Linked DNA regions of Astyanax mexicanus. The main gene of each other region encodes a partner of the protein of the gene in region 3 in a complex. Links are inferred from orthologs where the notes say so. Each region holds a gene or a part of one and is shown on either strand. Other genes may lie near its edges. The genes, in order: zgc:162634, pigh and piga.

What was found.
Region 1: piga (region 3) and zgc:162634 share a complex: the UniProt entries of both Homo sapiens proteins name them as parts of the glycosylphosphatidylinositol-N-acetylglucosaminyltransferase (GPI-GnT) complex. The link is inferred for Astyanax mexicanus from reciprocal best matches to the Homo sapiens genes PIGA and PIGY.
Region 2: piga (region 3) and pigh share a complex: the UniProt entries of both Homo sapiens proteins name them as parts of the glycosylphosphatidylinositol-N-acetylglucosaminyltransferase (GPI-GnT) complex. The link is inferred for Astyanax mexicanus from reciprocal best matches to the Homo sapiens genes PIGA and PIGH.

The regions. Positions count from the first base shown.
Region 1 is NC_064417.1:17,145,114-17,150,325, reverse strand, and holds zgc:162634 (phosphatidylinositol N-acetylglucosaminyltransferase subunit Y), read right to left. Parts: upstream 1,022-5,212; 5' UTR 872-1,021; coding exon 656-871; 3' UTR 509-655; downstream 1-508. UniProt on the Homo sapiens protein: Part of the glycosylphosphatidylinositol-N-acetylglucosaminyltransferase (GPI-GnT) complex that catalyzes the transfer of N-acetylglucosamine from UDP-N-acetylglucosamine to phosphatidylinositol and participates in the first step of GPI biosynthesis.
Region 2 is NC_064408.1:78,401,456-78,409,202, reverse strand, and holds the start of pigh (phosphatidylinositol N-acetylglucosaminyltransferase subunit H), read left to right. Parts: upstream 1-4,684; 5' UTR 4,685-4,796; intron 4,797-5,581; exon of another isoform or gene 5,582-5,709; 5' UTR 5,710-5,816; coding exon 5,817-5,996; intron 5,997-7,747. Other genes in the region: zfyve1 (zinc finger FYVE domain-containing protein 1), read right to left, coding at 43-257, 345-849, 2,801-3,271. UniProt on the Homo sapiens protein: Part of the glycosylphosphatidylinositol-N-acetylglucosaminyltransferase (GPI-GnT) complex that catalyzes the transfer of N-acetylglucosamine from UDP-N-acetylglucosamine to phosphatidylinositol and participates in the first step of GPI biosynthesis.
Region 3 is NC_064418.1:1,991,897-1,999,327, reverse strand, and holds the start of piga (phosphatidylinositol N-acetylglucosaminyltransferase subunit A), read right to left. Parts: upstream 3,072-7,431; 5' UTR 2,871-3,071; intron 1,669-2,870; 5' UTR 1,650-1,668; coding exon 1,329-1,649; intron 327-1,328; coding exon 1-326. UniProt on the Homo sapiens protein: Catalytic subunit of the glycosylphosphatidylinositol-N-acetylglucosaminyltransferase (GPI-GnT) complex that catalyzes the transfer of N-acetylglucosamine from UDP-N-acetylglucosamine to phosphatidylinositol and participates in the first step of GPI biosynthesis.

The DNA.
Region 1 (5,212 bases), on a different chromosome or scaffold from region 3:
TTTCAAGGAGTGCTTTGTACTTTCGATGTGTTTACTGCTCAGATAAATAGCTTTTGCATGTATATTTTAGGGGTGCAATTATATTAAAAAAATCATTATTGCAGGGTAACTTTAAACATTTATCAGCATCACACAGGTTTAATAAATATTTGAGCAAAATATTTAGGGCACATACAAGAATTTGTCTATATGTAATGCTACATTTTTGGGATTAAGTGATGTGTTAATCATTCAACATTCTGACCTCACTATTGCATATTACTGAATTGCAAATAAACACCTATAGTAATGCTTCAAACTTTAGTACAAAGACCTTCATGGATAGTTGAGCCAGTTCCTCTTAAAAATAATAATAATTATAAAAACGTTTAACACCATTGATTATGGAAGAAACAATAAAAGAACAGGCGGTTATTTCTGTTATATAGCGTGTTTGTGTGTCTAGGCACGGGCTGAATTAAACCGTTACAAACATCTGAAATAAATGAATTGGGATTAATACAATGAATAGTGGTAAAATATAGTCATATGTTTATTTATTTTGTAACCCATCTAGTCAATCACAAACACAAAGTTTTAACGTTCTTAAAAATACAAATTTAAATCACTTATGTCTGCATAGAATTTTATTTACCCTTCTGATTAAACAAACATTCTAATTGTGTCTAAACAGCTTGATTCCCATCCATTTCCACAGATGAAAGAACACGTACACAGGAATAGTGACCGGCAACAAGAGACTATAGAAACACACACTGTTTGAGCCGGTACAGCCCTGGGGGAAATTTTCATCCACACTTGCAGAATACATTAGTCCAATTAAGGACAAAATTGGTACTATCACAGTGACAGTTGACAGAGAAAATAGCATTATGGCTTAGATGTTTACTGCAAATGTAATATAATAAACAACTGCACTCGGCTTATGCTGTAGTTCCACCTATGACTGGGTGGGCTCTTCAATTCCCTCAGCCTTCTTGATCAGCTTTGCATCTTGAGGAATCATGTTAGGAATACCATCAATAATAGGATAGGCAATGCCAAGCTCTTCATTGATTAATTCATTTGTTTCTTTGTTGTACCTAAAAAAGAAAAATGAAAACAATTGTTTATAATAAATACTTTTATTAAAAATAATAAAACATTACACTATGCAAGAATTCTACAATGTAATACAGTTGCAGAGAACAATAAAAAGAATAACTGTAATAGTGATTTTTCTCCATTTCTAATTTCTTAATACACCTTAACCAGACAGTTCAGCAGTCTTTAGGACGTAGGTACCTGGATCAGGTTTGTTCCAAATTGACTGAAAGGAAGATCGCCTGAATTCATTGAATAGGTCTCATGTGTCTTGTATAATGCGGTATAATCAAACATAAAGTAGTAGTAGTACAGCAGTAGTAGTACAGCAGTAGTAGTACAGCAGCAGTGCAGCAGTAGTAGGTAGTATGCAACAGTAGTACACGAGGACGGAGTTAGCGTCTTATTTGCCAGTGTCTTATTCGGATTTTCCGGTCCACCTTAAAAAGTCGAAATGCCAATGATTCGTCAGTAGAGAGCAAGATTGGGCTCATAAATTAGAATAAATAGCCTGTTCTGCATTTATGTTTGAATGTAAATGAACTAGTATACTGTGAAAAGCCTAAAGAACTAGAAATATTACTGTACCATTATTTATTATGACCCTCTGAACTTGGCATTTGTGAAGATTAAAGGACAATAAATTGCCTGTTCTGCATATTTGTAGCTGCCCTAACTCCAGATTATCAAAGAATCTATTGAATTTGACACCAAATTATGAAAATAAAACTAGTATACAGTGAAAAGCTTAAAGAAGTAGACATATTACTGTACAATATTTGTTTATTATGACCCTTTAATCTTGGCATTTGAGAAGATTAAAGGACAATAAATTGCCTGTTCTGCATATATCTATCTGCCTTAACTCCAGATTATCAGAGTCTATTGAAGTTGACACCAAATTATGAAAATAGAACTACTATACTGTAGAGCTGGGCGATATGGGAAAAAATCTTATCACGATATAGTTTTCCATATCAGTCGATATCGATATGTATCACGATATAAATCAAATCACTTTGTGTCACACTTAAAGGTTTGTTTTTATTAGTGAGAGAATAAGGGAGTGATGGAAGTTTTATCACAATATTTTTTTCTGTATCTCCATAATTATTAGGGCTGGCCCGAATAGCATTTTTTGAGCTCCGGATATTTGGCAGTAATTGGTAGCGAATATTCCAATATTAGTTTTTAAAAAAAACAAATTAATCATGAACGCGAGCCAGAACCCGAGCTTGAACGTCAGCCTGACTCAGGCGCTGCATGAACTCGGGCTTTTTTCCAATTTTTTCCAATTTTCCATGACTGAAAAAAAAACTTGGGCTATAAGCTCAATATTAAATATTTCGTTTGTTTAGAAATTATTTTATATTCTTAAACCATGTTAAATTATATTAGATTAGTAGGGCTGGCCCGAATAGCGTTTTTTGAGCTCAGAATATTGGGCACTGATTGGCAGCCAATATTGGAATATTTGTTTTTAAAAAGACGGATTAAAAACTGATTAAAGTAAAACAAAAATTGCAACTCGGCCCCTTTAATTCACCACAAAGTTTTCCAAGACCCAGCCGGAAAAAAAAAGATTTCCCACCTTTTCCTCAGCTGGGTCGGGCTCAAAAAATGATTTGTGATAGGCTGTTTTTTGGTTTGTTTGTTTAAGCACTTAGGCTTTTGTACTGCTGCAGTGCAATATTTAGATTTTATATTCTGAAATTCGTTAGGTTTTATTTCTTTTAGCATTTTGAACTTTTTTTCCAATTTCAAATTTATTTTTTTCTGTTCGTTATGTTCTATCGGTCCTTGCGTTTTTTGTAGTTGAAGTTGAATTTAATATTGAAGTTCAATATTTCTAATTTATATTTTGAAATTCGTTAGATTATATTTATTATTGTATTTTGAGCTCACTTTAGTTGGTTATTTTCCAAATTCATATCTATTTTTCTGTTATTATTAAATGTTATTAGCTTATTAGCTTAGCTTGTCATTTAGCATACAGAACTTCTCACGGATTTTTAATGAATGTTGATTTATTAATTTAAAAGCTGTACCTTATTAAAAGTATTTTAAGCCAGACAGACACTGTGTGATTTTTTAATGAGTTTATCTGCACTTTTAAATGGTTTGTCCTGTAGGAAACGCACACGATTTGTATGCTGACACTGTTGTCTGACTGAGGAGCTGCTTTCCGTCAAATGCAGCCTGTAGGCAGGAAAAAATCCAGCCAGAACCGACCATATCATGAGCCAGTTTTAAAGCCAGTAATTTAGTAGAGCATTAAACTACAAATCTGAGATGTACCTGCTGTACTTCTTAATCTCTGCCCCCAAAACGGTCCATTAACTTGCTTGACAGACGCGTCAAATCCCCCGCGAGCACGCGCGGCGCACAGCGCACCGATTAATTCATGCGTTGAGCTTTAAACGCGCAGCTGAGCTGTAATTGGGGAAATATCACAAAAATCACAGTGTGATTTGTTACATTAAAAAAAAGACCATTTTCTTCCGCCTAATCTGAGAGGAAAGCGGTGTTCTCGACCGGCCCGAGTTCATGCAGCGCCTGAGTCAGGCTGGCGTTCAAGCTCGGGTTCGGGCTCGCGTTCAGGCAGATAATCTAAATGATAAATGATTTTGTGTTTTTGCACTTGGGCCATAAGCTCAATATTAAAAAGTTCGTTTGTTTAGAAATTATTTTATATCCTTAAACCATGTTAAATTATATTAGATTAGAGGAAAGTCATTTAGACATCATTCTTAAGGTGTTTTTGTCCTGTTACCGCTCCGCAAAAAAACCTCTTCCTTTAATCCGCGCCCCACATACACATTTTTGCAGCACCTGCCCCGAGGTCCTAATATAAATTGAATTAATTACATTTAGTGCTTAAAATTTACTTAAAATTTATTTAAAACGTGCTGAACAGTGCGGCCGTTTATTCCCAAAGTCCAAACACTATGGTTGTTTGCGTGTGTCGGGCCATACTCCACTATTCTTTAGGGTTTTTTGTTGCATGCATGAGAATAACTATTACAATTTTCTTAACTATTTATTAATTTGCTCCAGCGTCTTCTGGATTGATTACACGTTGTGTTTTCGTTGTTTGCCGCGCCACTTAGACGGAAATGGAAATGAATGTTTATCGAATTCTATTGCACAGGCTTATCATCGTCATCGAGGGAAAAATTATCGCGAAACAAATCGATATCGTTATATCGCCCAGCACTACTATACTGTGAATAGCCTAAACAACAATGTATATTACTGTACCATTTTTATTATGACCCTCTGAACTTGGCATTTAATACAATTTTGAAGTAGAATAAATTGCCTGTACTACATATTTCTAGTTGTTTTTACTCCACATTATCAGTCTGTTGAAATTTATGCTTATTTCCCACCTCTATATAACATTATTTCATGCGCGTGTGTGCCATATTTAAATTCTTGCCTGTTACAAAACTGGTAGTATTGTTTTTCAGTGACCATCTGAATATAAGAAATCTGTTATAATTGCACTTTACTGAATCATGACGCATGACGTTTTGATAACTTAAAAATTTAATAGAAATTGCATTATAAGTTTATCATTGAAATATTTCATTCCGACACATAACTGTAAAACAATTTACACATGCACACAAGTAGTCTGCAAAGCATGTACAATAGAAAAAAAATAATTTATTGAAATCAGTCATCATAGTACATACTTCTTTTATTTTTTCCTTACTTACTTTTTGAATAAAAGCCCTTTTGATATCACTACCCCTCTAATGCCCACATGGGTCAAAAATTACCCACCTTCAATTTTTTATGGAACTTCATGTATAGCTGAGTGTTTCTTTAGCACAAATTTTCTTTTTCTTTTCTTTTTTATTTTATGAAGAAGCTTTTGTATTTCTACATCAGTTTTACACATATTGGTCAGACATGACCCACATTTACTATTTCACAGCTCAGCACAGATCTACTTTCACAACTCAGTACCATCTTACAGTAACATTTTCTTAAAAATATGTGATGCCTATAGTAAAAGATAACTGAACATAATATTAAATAGGTTTAGATTACCTAAATAGTGAGTACATTACCTGTTAGTAAGTTATAAGTCATTATTTTTAGCTATTAGCTGTTCATA
Region 2 (7,747 bases), on a different chromosome or scaffold from region 3:
GCCTGTGATTCGTACCATGTGTAAATGAGACAGCATTTTTACCTGCAGAGCCTTGTAGATGACACTTGCAGAACGTGGAGAGCGTGTGGTGGTGTTGTCCAGCTGCGACTCCACGCTACGCAGCAGGCCATTGAAATCAGTGGGAGGGTTATAGGTGCGTGTGCCTCGATACTGAATAGAGCTGAAAGCCTCTGGGAAGAGCCCAAGCTTTCTGAAACGCTCCTGGAGAAGGCGCTCGGCAGACTCAGAAGGCTTATCTGCAGACCATTAAAAAGCATGGATTAGTGCTGGACAGTACTTAAATGATTTCAAATCGAGATATTTAAAAGGTCCAGAACACTGACCTGAGCCTAGCAACTTGGTATGGACGGTCTCGTGAAAAATGATAACAGCAGGGCCCAAAGTGGAAAGCGGCACATCCAGACCACAGCGGGCAGTGGTGGCTTTCAGCTCCTTTGTAAAATGCTTTAAATAAGCATCTGAAGCATCGCCCAGAAACTTAAACAGATCATCGTGAAGACGGTCGGCGTGTGTGCGGTAAATGACCAGGTCTGACACGGCCAGCACCTTCAACAGGAGACGGGTCCGCTGGCCCTGGTTTGATCCTGCTCCCAGGAGTCCCTCTGTGTCGACGACCACCACCTTATGAAGTGGGTCAAGTGCTGCCCACACTCCAACAGTGCACGACTCCTGCGTGGGGGATGTCTTGAACACTTCACGGCCTTTGAAGAACGTGTGGTTTAGGGTGTGTGATTTGCCTTCCCCAGTATTACCAAAAATGGACACCACCTTCAGCAGTTCATCCGGTACACAGCCCAGTCTCTTCACAAAGTTATCTCCACTCTTTACCTGATCACAGTAGAAGTGCAACATAGTTTACGGTCATCGCTTTTAATATGGTAAGGTGTTGAGTTTTAAAATATACTGAGAAACTAAAATTACTTCATGATATTCCTAAAAAGTAAAATCCATGTAAAAATATTCAAAAACTGTCTGCTTTATAGTTTTGTGGAGTGGATTTATTTCTAATAAACAAAAATAAATTCAGTGTTGACACTTCTTTTTTTTTTACCTCTATATTGCATATTTTCGGCACTGTTTACCAATCGTGGTTCTGAAGTAGCCCTGCACTACACTAAAGCTAAAACCAAGCAAAACTAATGAAGCTAAAACTAATGGAAATCAATGTCATCTATAGTTTTTGATCAATGCCTGCTACCACTGGTTTACCATGGTTCTTCACTGGCATGATTTAAAATATTCATTGGTATCACCTTTAGATCATCCATGATTGACTATGATTGTTCTCTTTTTTTTATTCCTTTAATTCCAAAATACTCAACGAGCAAGACAATTTACAGTAAAAAGGGCCACCCTGAAGTCAATCCTGAGAACCTATGCTTTGATTTCAGTGCACACCAACATAACATGCCTATCTCAATTTTTTTTTCTTTTTTTACTATGGGTTGGCCCCACATATACATGTCAGTGAAGGACCTTATCAGGGTCAGTGATGAGAACAGCAGGAGTAAAACACAAGCCCCATCTGGGTTGCACTGTGAACATAGATGAAAGTAAGGTGTGCTGTAATGATGAGGCACAACTGAGAAATCCAACTGGGTCAAGACAACACAAGACAAGACAACCATAGTGTTCATACTTGTGCTGGAAGCACAGGTGGAATTTGGCCTTCGCCTTTAACCCATTTGTGCAGTGAACACACACACGCATACACACACACCAGTGAATACAAACACCAAGTAACCAGTAATACAGTGAGCTCAATTAGCCAACAGTGGCAGCTTGCCAATCCAGGGTATCAAACCCACAACCTGGTTTTCAATAGCCCACTCAGAGGTCATGCCCACCTCAAACCCACCTAGCCCATATTTCATCAATGAGGGCGCCACATGAGCCTGTTGGCTTGGTGAAATGTACCAAAAAGTACAGCCCTGAAAAAAAAATAAGAGACCACTTCGAAATGATCAGTTTCTCTGATTTTACTATTTATAGGTATATATTTGAGTAAAATGAACAATGTAGTTTTATTTTATTCTATAAATCACTGACAACATTTCTCCCAAGTTACAAATGCAAATATTGCCATTTAGAGCACTTGAAAAAATGAGAAATGGTCAAAAATAATTAAAAAGGTAAAGTGCTTTAAATCCTTAAATAATGCAAAGAAAACAAGTAGATATTCATAAAGTTTTAAGAGTTCAGAAATCAATATTTAGTGGAATTACCCTGATTTTTGATTACAGCTTAATGCATCTTGGTATGCTCTCCACAAGTCTTTCACACTGCTTTTGGCTGACCTTACTCCACTCCTGGTACAAATTCAGGCAGTTCACCTTTGGCTTGTGACCAACTTACATCTTACATGATTACAATTAGAGTTTTTTTTAATGAAAGTTGTGACTAAAACTGTGGGTTATTCTACCCATTGTTGGTTCTAAACTCACCCTAAAATAAAGCTTGCTGTTTGATTGCTGTTGTTCCTAAATGCATATGAACTTGTTTTTCTTTTGTTTGCATTATTTGAGGTCAGAAAGCTCTGCATTTCTTTTTGTTATTTCAGCCATTTCTCATTTTCTGCAAATAAATGCTCTAAATGACAATATTTTTATTCTGAATTTGGGAGAAATGTTGTCCGTAGTTTATAGAATAAAACAACAATGTTTATTTTATTTAAACATATATCTATAAACAGCAAAACCAGAGAAACTGATTCAGAAACTGAAGTGGTCTCTTATTTTTTTTTTCCACAGCTGTATGTGAATCCATCTCATTCCCATACCTGCATATCCTCCTTCTCATCCACCAGCAGGAAGCTGCAGACCTTGTCCAGCTGGGCGTTCACGCGCTGCAGGTCCTCGTCAGCATCAGAGTTCATGTTGGCCTCGGGGGGTTTGCAGGGCGGGTAGGCAGAGAGGGGGTGCTTTCTTTTACTCACGCCGCTGTGAGTGCGCTTCTGGCAGTCCAGGCACAGGTTGATCTTGCAGCCCTGACACCTGACCACGGCCCTGAGGCGAGAGCCGTTGGCAGGACAGCTGCCGTCGCCTTTGCAGGAGTCGCAGAAGGGTACGTGGCCCTGGGAGATCCGGACGCGGTCGTGGTTCCTCATGCGCTCCTGCCGGTGCAGCTCCAGCTCGCAGCGGGCGCACTGCAGGCTGCCGCACTCGTCGCACTCGAAGGCGGCCTCATCCGAGCCGCCGCAGGCGTAGCTCTCCTGGCAGACCAGGGCGCCGTTCACTCCCTGCCCGCTCATCCTGGAGCCACAACTCACTGAATTACAAGCAACTTTAACTTAGCTAACGTTAGCTAACTTGCTCAGACCTCGAAACGCACCTGATGATAATAACCGTTCATTAGAACCATTGAAATTATTGCTTGATCACGAACTCAACCTAACTAGTTATCTGCTTTAAAACCAGTCTGCATAAGAGAAACAATAATAAATAAATACAAAAACACCACACACCCACCACTTAAGGCTATGACACTGACTCCAAACCTTACACGCACTAACCCAACTAAATTAGTTAACTACTAAACTATTGCACCAGTTTAAAAGTTTAAAGCTGCTCTTAAATCCACTTTTAATCACAACCTGAAATAACACCATGTATCCACCACAGATATTTACAGCTAGTTAACTTAACTAGATAAGCTAGCTAAAGTTAGTTACTGAACTTATGACACCGCTGGAACAACGCCCAGATCATTCCATTTGCAAGCTACCTTGGTTAACTTTAGCTAGTTAACTTAACTAAGCTAGTTAACAAATTAACTTGTAGTAAATTAAGTAAGACTCTATCTTTAGAATATTATTAGATAAATCTAACCTAAATTAGGACCATAGATGGATTTTGTTTAAAAATATTTAACTTTTGTAACTAATGACACTCTAGAAATTGATAAATTATCTATCTAGCTAGTTAACCTATCTTTTTTTTTTTTTAGCTAATTGGGTTAACTAAACAAGCTATCACACATACTGGCCTTTAGTATCTTAGGGAACGTTACTGTATATTTAGCTGGCTATTAGCTCCCTAGCTAGCATACTGCCCCGCCACAGTCCCATCTGCTCAAGCGACCATTAGCAGCTAGCTAACTAGCTCAGCTAACTTAATGATAGTCCGTGGTTTAAATAAACAACATCACCAACCTCTCAAAGCCGCTCTCAGCTCTCATATCTAGCTACACCCTGCAATATCACCCTGATAAACGCCACAGGCTACGAGGACGGACGCGGACGGACGTGTTGAGCTTTTGTTCAACAAGCTAGCAGCATTAGCATTTCGTTAACAGGAGGAAAAAGGATACTGCCCTCTAGCTAACACTCAATGACAACAAATAATAGACTTTCTTTAATAAATACACAAATATTAGACAGGCCTGACTGGCTCCGTGCGCCCAGCTGCGTTTAAAACGGTCTGTGAAGCGCGTTTATCCCAAAACAACAACAACAACAGCAGCAGCAGCAGGAGCTCTGGGGTCTGCGGTCAGCAGCCTTCCTGACTTAGCAAAACAGCACAACAAATCTGTATTTCGAGCGAGACAGCGGCGCAGTTTTCACCAGACCGGCCGCAGGAACACACACAGCAGCGCCCGGGCTGTCTCTGGACAGATTTACAGTCTGGACAGGAAGGTCGAGCCGCTTGTTTTGAGAGCAGCTGGTTAGCTGAATAATTCCGCTGGCCGGTTGATTTCGGAGAGTGTTGTTGCCAAGTCACATCAGCTGATCGACTTTGTTTTCAGCCTGAAGGTCGGAGGGGAACGGCTGCTGCAAGGTGAGTAGGGAAATGTAGTGAAAAACCGAGGGAAAAGGCGGCTAACGAAGCTAGTTTGCTAACCCATCTATTTAACCGCTGTTTCTTATCGTCCCTGTTAACGTCTTCTGTTTTTTTTTATGCAGTAACACTGCACTCTTTCAGCAATGCCATGTGTATTAACTATATTAGTGATGCTAAGTGTTTTAATGTATTACATTTTACCGGATGAATAGGATAATCTATGGAAGGTATAGAGACTTATTACATAACTTATTTTTGAAATAACTCGTCATAAATTTTAATTATATTTCTTTTATCATTCTAATTTTACAATAACAACTAGTTAACTTAGTGTCCCCAGCTAGCATAGCCCTGTCAACTCATTTTAATGAGGTGTGGCAATAGGAACAGTGTCTGATGAGTGTTTAATAAGGCAGCTTACATCTGCTCAGTTTATGTATAAGCTAATGGTGTTTTTTTTTGTTATTTTCTTACTAATAGAGTTACTTGAGTTTATGTATTTATTTTATGAGTGTATTCAATCAGGTAATTTGTTACAGTTAAACAGTTAAACCTATACTACTACTACTACTACTACTACTACTACTACTACTACTAATAATAATAATAATAATAATAATAATAATAATAATAAAAAAGAATAAGAAAAATAATAATTATATTAATAAGAAAAATTGTCGACCAAACTTAAGACTGTAAATACATTTTTAATTCCGCAGTGGCATAAAAAAAGAAATCTTGCTTTAACATGTCAGTTTAAACGTGGTAAAACTCAATTTCCCATGATGCACCGTGTTTTTTAAGGTCGCCAGGTTCTGTTCTATCGATGTGAACTGATACTCGCCGAGGCTTCATAGACATTAGTAAATATCTGGTTATATTTGGACTGTCTTTATGTACTGTATTACAGGCTTTAATCAGTATTGAACACACTTCTGTGTTGGTGAGGCGTCTTTCTGACGGGTGTTTCAGCGCTGGTTTGTGACAGCTGAGCTTGTGCTGCTGTCTGCTCCCGTCATGGCTGAAGAAGGACCGTTTACAGACATCAGCGGTAAACCCATCTCGCTGGAGTGTCAGAACTACACTCCTTTCTGCAGAGAGTTCACTGTCAGCTCCCCGAAGGTCTCTCTACTCAAGGTGATGGGGTACACCTGCTCCGTCTGGCTGCTCGCCTACGCCGTGTTCTTCCTCACGGAGGTACGTAAGTTAGCGTAACTTGCTAGGTTAGCTTCGCTAGTTAGCTAACATGACCTAAATACACTGTTGTTTTTTTGCAGTGTTGTACACTGTAAAAATGAAAAGAACAGAACCGTTTAAGTTTTGAAAAAGAAAAAAGAAAGAAAAAGAAAAGAAAAGAAATACTTTTTTTTCATATGCATAAAACTTTAAATATTAATTCTCACCAACTTTGAAGTTTACTTTGTGTTGTTAGTTTGACTCATTTAGGTTCTATGATGTGTTTTGTAAGTTCCGCTGTCTATCCATTAAGGTCACGTTTTACATAAATCAAACTCGCATAATGAGCACTATATTGTTTGTTAATATAAGTTAGCAACTGAGAATTTATGACTATTTTATATCTGTCTTATTGTCAGTCATATAAGTATTGCGGTAATGCAAACAGAACCAGCTGGTACCAGACAGCCTTCAACACTGAGGCCAGGCAGCTACTATTATATAACACATAAGTGAAGACCAAAAGAAGACAGTCTGTGGAGAATGACTGCACACTGATGGTGAGTGAGAGATGGGAGGACACACCCAATATGCAAATAGCATGACCAACATCAGGTGAAAAGCCCCTGCAGAACTGCTCAGTAGACCCTGTTTAACTGAAGAGTAAAACTGAGCAATGTGCAGTAGTGCAGAGTAGTTGGCTTGGCCTCAACTAGGGTTCAACTGCAATTTGTAAAATTTGCCACACAAATGATTTAGTCAGACCAACTTTTAACAAAAAACGTAATAATGTTAGTTGAGGCAACTAGTTTGCTATAGTTTATGGTGCAATTCAATATTTCTTGTTCAGCTGACTTAAAAATCACAGCAAGAAGAACAATTTTGAGTTTGGTTTTTACAGTGTACAGAGAGTACGTACCCTAATGTGACGTAAAAAAATAATAATATAAAAGAGATAATGCGTGGCCACGACTTATTAAAGCATGGGAACGCATTTCCACGCTTTAATAGGTCGGTCACGCATTATTTCCTTTTCTTTTATTATTTTTATTTTTTGCATGATTTCACATTAGGGGCACTGTAGTGTTTTCATGAATAGTTAGTTAGCGTTACCAAGCCTTACATTAGCTACTACTGTGTCAATCAGTAAAGTACTAATAAAATATATGTATGAGTGTATGTATAAAATAGAAAAAGATTAATAGTTAGCACATTTATTGCATGTATATACAAACAAACTGTAAATACACTAGGTGGCAAAATAAATACTAAATAGACTGCTAAATATCACTTTCATCACATATTTTATAATGTAAAAAATGTTTGTGATATTACTGCTAACGATATGATTTGGCGCTCACCTGTAACACCCTCTTCTTTAGTCACATTCTCACATAGGGGTCCGTCCTAAAATGGCAAGAATCCAGCACAGTTCAGTGATTTTGTTGTTGATTAGGGTCAACTCAGTCAATCAGTTATATTGCTGCCAAGCTTATTCCTCATCCCCTGTGCTTGAGTTTCAGTGGGTTAACTGGGTTTCAGGTGAGCACAAGCACAGTCGGTTTAAGATAGGGATGCACTAAAATGCACTAATCTTCTAAACTGTGGATCAAATTAATGTACCTTGAAATAAAAGCTGAAATGTTGAACTTTTGTATCATATTCATCTTTTAAGGTCAAACCCAAATGTTTTCAGTCTTCAACAGAAATAAAGGGATTGGCATCGCTGTTCCAATACTGTTAGAGGGGACTGCTAACAAAGCACAATTTGA
Region 3 (7,431 bases):
GAGACGATGTCGGGGTTTAGAGCAGCTCTCAGAACAGTGTTCTCTTTACTGGTGTACGACACACACACGATGTGATTGGTGTCACACAGCGTTACAGTCAGCAGTTTGTTGGTTAGCACTGAGCTCAGATCAGCGAACCCGAAGAGCGAGTGATCAGTGAACACCGTGTTGAGGCCCATGGTCTTGGCGTGGAACAAAGCATCATGGGCCATGGCCGAGAAGGAGCTGTGGGCGTGTACCACAGTGATGTGCTCGCGTACGAACACACACCTGAGCAGAGGTAAGCTGTGGAAGCAGGAGGTGGCTGTGGACTGGTTATACATCACCTACAGAAAAGAGAGAAACAGAGGACAGTCACTTTCATTTTAGGGTTTTTTTTTATCCTTAAAAGAAAATAAATTCACCTTAACATATTCACACACATTTCTTACACACACTATATATGGCCAAAAGACAAAAAAAAAAAAACAACAACTATGGAGTGAATTTAGTGTCAAACGTTTTACGCAAAAAATTAAATTCGCAATAAAAATTTGAGAATCAAAAGAAAAAAGAAAAAAAAGTGTATGTTGCAAATTCAAAAAATAAAAAAAATTAGCAAATATATATTTTTTTAAATATACTTGGTTACTTAATTATTCTTTGCACTTATTTTCACTTATATTTAAGTTTGGATTTTGCCAGTCTTTGCTCTTATTTTTTATGTTTTTGTGGATTTTCTGCGGATTTTACCCTTGAATCTCCATTGGTTGGTCTCAGACTAGGGTATAGAGTCCAAAATCAGATGACCAATGGAGATTCAAGGGTAACGCCTTCTTCTAAGCCCCGCCCACCCGTGAAAACTGTGCCTAATCTAAAAAAAAGAAATGCAGAAAATGAAGCAGAAGCAAAAGAGAGATTCCAGGATAAAAAGTCTTTAGCAGCAGTATATTTTAGCAGCAACTATATTTAAAAATATATATTTGCTATATTCTTTTTTTTTGCATTAAACTTTTGGCACAAAATTCACTTCATTAAATACCTGCTTATTCATTTCTCCTTTCAAAAAATCAAATTAATATGGGAGGTTTTATACCCCTCTACCCCTTACCTGAAATAAGGAATAGTGATAATAGCATTATATTTGTCTAGAAGAGTCGTATTTAATTGGCAATGCTTCACTACTAAAGGGATTAGATAAACTGTGAGTTTGTACATCTCTGTCAAAAATAGGTGCAATTTAAAGTATCAGGATGCATTCTTTAGAGTGGGTGACATATATTATATATATATATTGTACAATATAAATACTAATATGTCCTCAGCTTCACTGAAGCTCAGCCACACACCTGCAGTGGGAGGTAATAGACCTTCAGGCCGTTGGTGAGGTAGCGAACTCCACGCCGGTCTCCGTACGCATGCGTAGCGATCACCACCTTGTGCCCCCTCTCTAAGAGACACTGTGAGAGCTGGTAGATGTGGCTCTCGACTCCGCCCATGTTGGGGTAGAAGAAGTCAGACACCATACAGATACTGTGCTTCTTCTGGGAGGAACGTCTGGCCGTGCCGGAGGGCAGCAGACTGGCAGGACTGTGTGGGGCGGGAGGATGAGCGTCAGGCTGGCAGGAAGCAGCCGCCTGTTTATCTCCTCTTCTTCTTCTTGACTTCATGTTCACATCCAGTTTAGACCTACAAAAAAAAAAAAATGGCGATAATTTAAGCAAGGCGATACACTGTGATTGATTAAATACATTTATTTAATGCATCGTAGTTCAAAAAACGACCTATTATATTTATAAAATCTAAAAAAAAAAAAAAGTTTATTTTTTTAGTCCAATAAAAACAGTGGGATCTAATGAGTAAAAAAAATCTCAATATTTCAATATATCAATTGTTTTATACACCTCTAATAATTAAATATTAAAATATGTACTGTCATTTACTCATTTAATTTTCTCTACTCAATCTGTAGTTCAGAACACTGGATATTAATTGGATAGTAATTGAGAGTAATTGATACTCATGATATCCTTTGCAAAAATATATACATAGTAAATCTGACTTTAATCCGGTAGCAATGTCAAACGTGGCTTTTGTGTGACAGTGAAAAATATAGTATTACAAATTGCAATACTTTGAAAAATTGGAAATATTTGCATTTAAGAATACATAACTATATACTTTAACATGCTTAAATGTCATTTAAAAAAGCACAGTTGTGTTGACTACATTTCTTGAATGTTTTAAAAATATATACTAATTGCATCCTGTTACTACACTACTAAACTAGATACACCGATCAAATATAACATTATGGCCATCTCTTTGTTTCTACACCTATGATATTTATATTTTTTTTTATATATTATTCACCAATACCAGAATGATAAGATTTTTTAACATAATATAAAAGTTTACTTAAAAAACGCTATAGGCTGTAAATATTGCATAGTCGTTTAGACTTATTCATTTAACTTTAGCTTTTTAGCATATTCTCCTCCACCAGTCTTACACACTGCTTTTGGAGAACTTTATGTCACTTGTGCAAAAAATCAGTTTGTAATATATTATATCATTTATATAACAGTAATTTTGAATCAGAAGATGAAATACCTGTTTATTGTAAATCCATATAGAGTTAATCCTGTCAGTCAGATTTCCTGTTTCTGTAATATAGCTTTACTTAACCCCCCAAATCAAACAGGAATAACTATTATATTCATATTCATACAACTGAACTCCGGGTGAAAAGAATATTATAAATTAAAATGTATGTAAAGAGTGAGTTTTATAGTTTAATCAATAGGTTAATATTAAGATTTACAGAGTAAGTTAGAGTTAGCTGTGTTGAGCTAACAGCTCGATGGCTATGATATGTATAATATAAATACCTGCAGTCAGACTCCGGCAGCTAAACAGTTGATATCACAGCCTCTGTGTGAAAGTTTAATAAAGTACAGCTTCATATCTACCTGTTTTATTAAGAGACAGACTGAAATAACTACATATTTCTGTTATAAATCACAGAACTCTTGAGTTAGCACATCTGCTACTGAGCCAGTACACAGTCTTCTTCGACTGCTGCCGGTCTCCAGCAGCACAAAACTGCACACCGCCACCTACCGACCGCACTGAGCTACCACTGCCCATAGACATCATATACAAAGACCACGCGTTGATTGGCCGCCATATTGGATGGGTCATTCATGCGCCCCAGAAAAATAATTTTCTCACTAAGGAAAGTGTTTTTCCCGATTTCCACACGGTTTGATTTGTTACAAACAGCAGAGATGTAGCAATGATACAGGACGCTGTATAAACGAATTCATTTAATATTTTAATGAAGAAACACGTTTTATATAGTTAATGTGTGTATATACGTATATATAAATATAAAATTAATTATTTATACACTTGTTAATATGCCATATCACATGTATACAGAGTTGCGATTATTATAGTTGTATTAAACACCTTCCTCAGTGTAAATTAATGCACTGGGTCGCGTGGTTGACTCCTCCAATATGGCGGCCACGCTACACGCCAGGAGGAGGGTACGGCGCGAGACCGGGCTCCAGCTCTCGTATGTCATAATAAAGGTCCTCCGTAATTAAAAGGCTCGTGGATGTCATAAAATTTAAATTATAATAAAATGTCATCTTAAAAATGAAGAAAGTTACCTACCGACTTGTTTAGTATATTCCTTTAATAGAATATATGAGGTATTTCCCTAAAAACGCAAAGAAAACTTACCTGTATGTCTTCAGTAAATGAGTTAGCTAGGTAGTAAAATAAAATCTAAAATTTAAAAAAAGTAGGAGACATTTGAGAGTTCAGCATTGGTAAACATTTTATTGCACAAAGTTTACAATTCCCCTTTACAGTATATTTAAACTCTGTAAACAGTGTTGAGCAGTGTCTCGCCAGCATATAAAGGGTGAAAACAAGCCTCGATTAAAACCTGTACGCCTTTAAACAGAATATCAGATGAGTTTCTACTTCAGCAGTTTGTGCACGGTTAGTGTTCATATAAAACTACATCTATACACTGTAATTCGTTCTTCAAAGCACAGAGCAGCATTAAATACAGTGGATCAGCCAGGAACTGTGAGAACATATCAAAAATACATTTTAAATACAGCGTGTTCAATCTCCAGACTCATCGTTTTATCCGTGAATTCAGGTGCATCCATTACCAGGGTTAAAATATTTATAAATACTGTTCTCATCATGATCATGATGAATGCCATAACTCTTTTACTTTACATCAAACATTCTTTCCAGATAAACTGTAACAAATATGTTTACATTAGAAGTTGTTCTTTCATATGTTTGCCTTTGGAGTCTCCTGATAAAAAATTATTTGTGCTAACAAGATCATGTGTTTTTAATGACATTGTGGATTGTGCTGGTCATTTATCATTAAAAGTTACTCATAAATCCAGACATCTGCACTGTGAAAAAATGTACCCTACATTTAAGGACATTGTCTAATTTAACAGTAGAGAACTAACTTTAGTAGTGTCCAGATTGCCTGCACTGAAGGCACAGGTCTCTTAAACAAAGACCACATGCATTCAGGGGCATTTAATATATGTATATGTTTATATAGCTACATATATAAACTAGTGTGGTAGAGTGGTACAGTATTTGGCAAACACACAAGGAAGCTCAGAAGATTAAAGCTTTAGCTTCAGTACTTTAGCGTCAGTTCTATCAGGGAGAATCACACTGGAAGTGGAGATCTGTGCAAGCGCAGCAGCCAGAACAAGCTTAAAAAATGAAGAAATGATCACTGCCTTTTCCTGTTCTTGCTGCAAATGAAAATGTTAAAATTACGCAAATTATCAACAGAGGTTCCACCATGTAAGACGACCCAATACCACGTCCTTAACCACACCTTTACCCACTCTCTCTTTACTCAATACAGTTAAATTCAAGTTTTTATCCAATAAAAATAACACTTTCTAAACATTTTGAGCTACAGGTGCAAAAAAAGGATGCACACTCAAGTCCGACGTAAACAACTTTCATCCTTAAATCTCCATTTCAATGCAAAGATGAACACAGAAAAATAAAGAAAACACATGGTACAGTTCAGTTTTTCAGTATGTCTGTGCTTCATGTTGATATTGCTGTATTGTGTAATAGAACTTGGGGAAATAGTGAAACGTCAGGTGTTTTTACAGGCTCATTTCCCCTCATTTCACCTTCATCTTCTCCAGTCGTTTGGTTAAGTGGCTGTTACTCGACTTCAACTCCTCAATCTTATCCAGAGCAGACCGGAGCTGTCGTTTACAAAAAAAGGTACAGCAACATATTAGTGTCTTTTAGAAATTAGAATTTATTTCAGCAGTACTGATCTAGTCACACATACCTCAACAGTGCAATTTTAGGAATAGATTTACCTCAGTAGTGCTATTCTAATCATACATTTAGTGCTACTCATGGGAGTGAAATTTATTCAGAGAAAGGCAGCCAGACTTTTTTTCTTTTGCCATTTTCAGCTTTTTCTTTTATTATGTATTTGGTGCATGCACAGCCATTATGGTAACATTAGGGTACTTGTGTTTTCAGTTTCTGAGTTTTGGCACAGTTTTCACAGGTGGGCAGAGTTTAAAAGAAAGCGTTCCCCTTGAATCTTCATTGGTAGGTCTCAGACAAGGGTTCAGGTACCAGTCAGTCCAAAATCAGGTAACCAATGAAAATTCAAGGGAAACGCCTTCTTCTAAGCCCCACCCACCCGTAAAAACTGTGCCAAAACTCAAGAATAAAAAAATGAAGCAGAAGCAAACGAGATTACAGAAGTAAAAGTCTTTATCAGCAAAATCAACAGAAAATCCACAAAAATTAGGTACAGACTGTCAAAATTCAAACTGAAATAATTTATAAAATAACTGCAAGAGAGAACTTTTGATTTTACCAAATTAAAAACCTCTGGAATATAATCAAAAGGAAGATGGATGATCACAAGCCATCAAACCACCAAACTGAACTGCTTGAATTTTTTGCACCAGGAGTAAAGCAGCATAAAGTTATCCAAAAGCAGTGTGTAAGACTGGTGGAGGAGAACATGATGCCAAGATGCATGAAAAAAAAAACTGTGATTAAAAACCAGGGTTATTCCAGCAAATATTGATTTCTGAACTCTTAAAACTTTATGAATATGAACTTGTTGTTTTCTTTGCATTATTTGAGGTCTGAAAGCTCTGCATCTTTTTCATTATTTCTTTGTTATTTCAGCCATTTCTCATTTTCTACAGATAATACAATATTTGTATTTGGAATTTCCATCATGACAAATAAACATACTCAAGTAAAAAAAAAAATCCTCCATCATACCTCTCTCTGCAGTTTGCGTTTCTCAGCTTTAAGCTCGTCCTCCACTTTCTCTGCGTTCTCTGCTGCAGATTTGTATCGAGAGACCTGTCCTTCCAGTCTTGTGGCCTGATATTAGAGATTTTAGAGAGATTTTAACATTTAACTCTATTTAAGCGCTTTAGCACAAATAAACATTGAGAAAATTGAGAGGAAGTTCTTACATTCTGTTCCAGAGCTGTGACTTCCTGTTCAGACTTCACTAGCTTAAATTTCAGATCAGTGATCTGCCTGTTGGCTTCTCCTGCAAAAGAACACAATTCATTAATGATAACTTATCAATGATCAATGTATAGATAACAAAAAGCCTTTACAGTGTTAATTTACAAGTTTAAATACTTTGTAAATCCATGACGTTATTGTCTGTGCCGTTTTCCATCGTCTCTCCCTCGAGCCTGGAGACATCCTCTGTGTCCAGCACCATTTTTTTCTGTTCAAGTTGTCCTTTAAGTCTCTTCACCTGAACAAAAAGACATTTTTACCACTATTAATATTATTTTTATTATTACTACTTGTTCTTTAATTCATTGTTATGCTATAAACTACATATCGTCGCTGTCCAATAATAAGAATAATCTTCATTTTTGTCCATTTTTTTAGTTTACTACATAATTTGAACAGAGAAACAGCCCTTTACACTGTGCCAAAATTTCTTGATGAACGGACCAATAGAAATACTTCAAAATTACCAGAAATAAACTCTTTTTACATTGTAATGATATTTGGATAATCAACTCAGTAACAGAAACACAATCCCAAACCATCTGAGATCCACCCCATAATTCAGTCTGCAAGGTCTTTCAATTAAACAAAGTTATATATTTTTGTGGACAAATAGTTATATTATGATAATAAATACATACAGAGGTGTGAAAAGTATATCTCCATACGTTACTCTGTAGATAGAAGTATAAATACTGGGGTTTAATAAAATACTTATGTAGAAGTATTAAAAATGTTGTTTTCTTACTTGTTCTATTAAACTCTCGCGTTCATCCACCAGTTTCCGCAGCCGGATCTCTGAAAAATAAAGAGAAAAGTCAGACTGTAATCTTTTAATACTGTATGTATGTA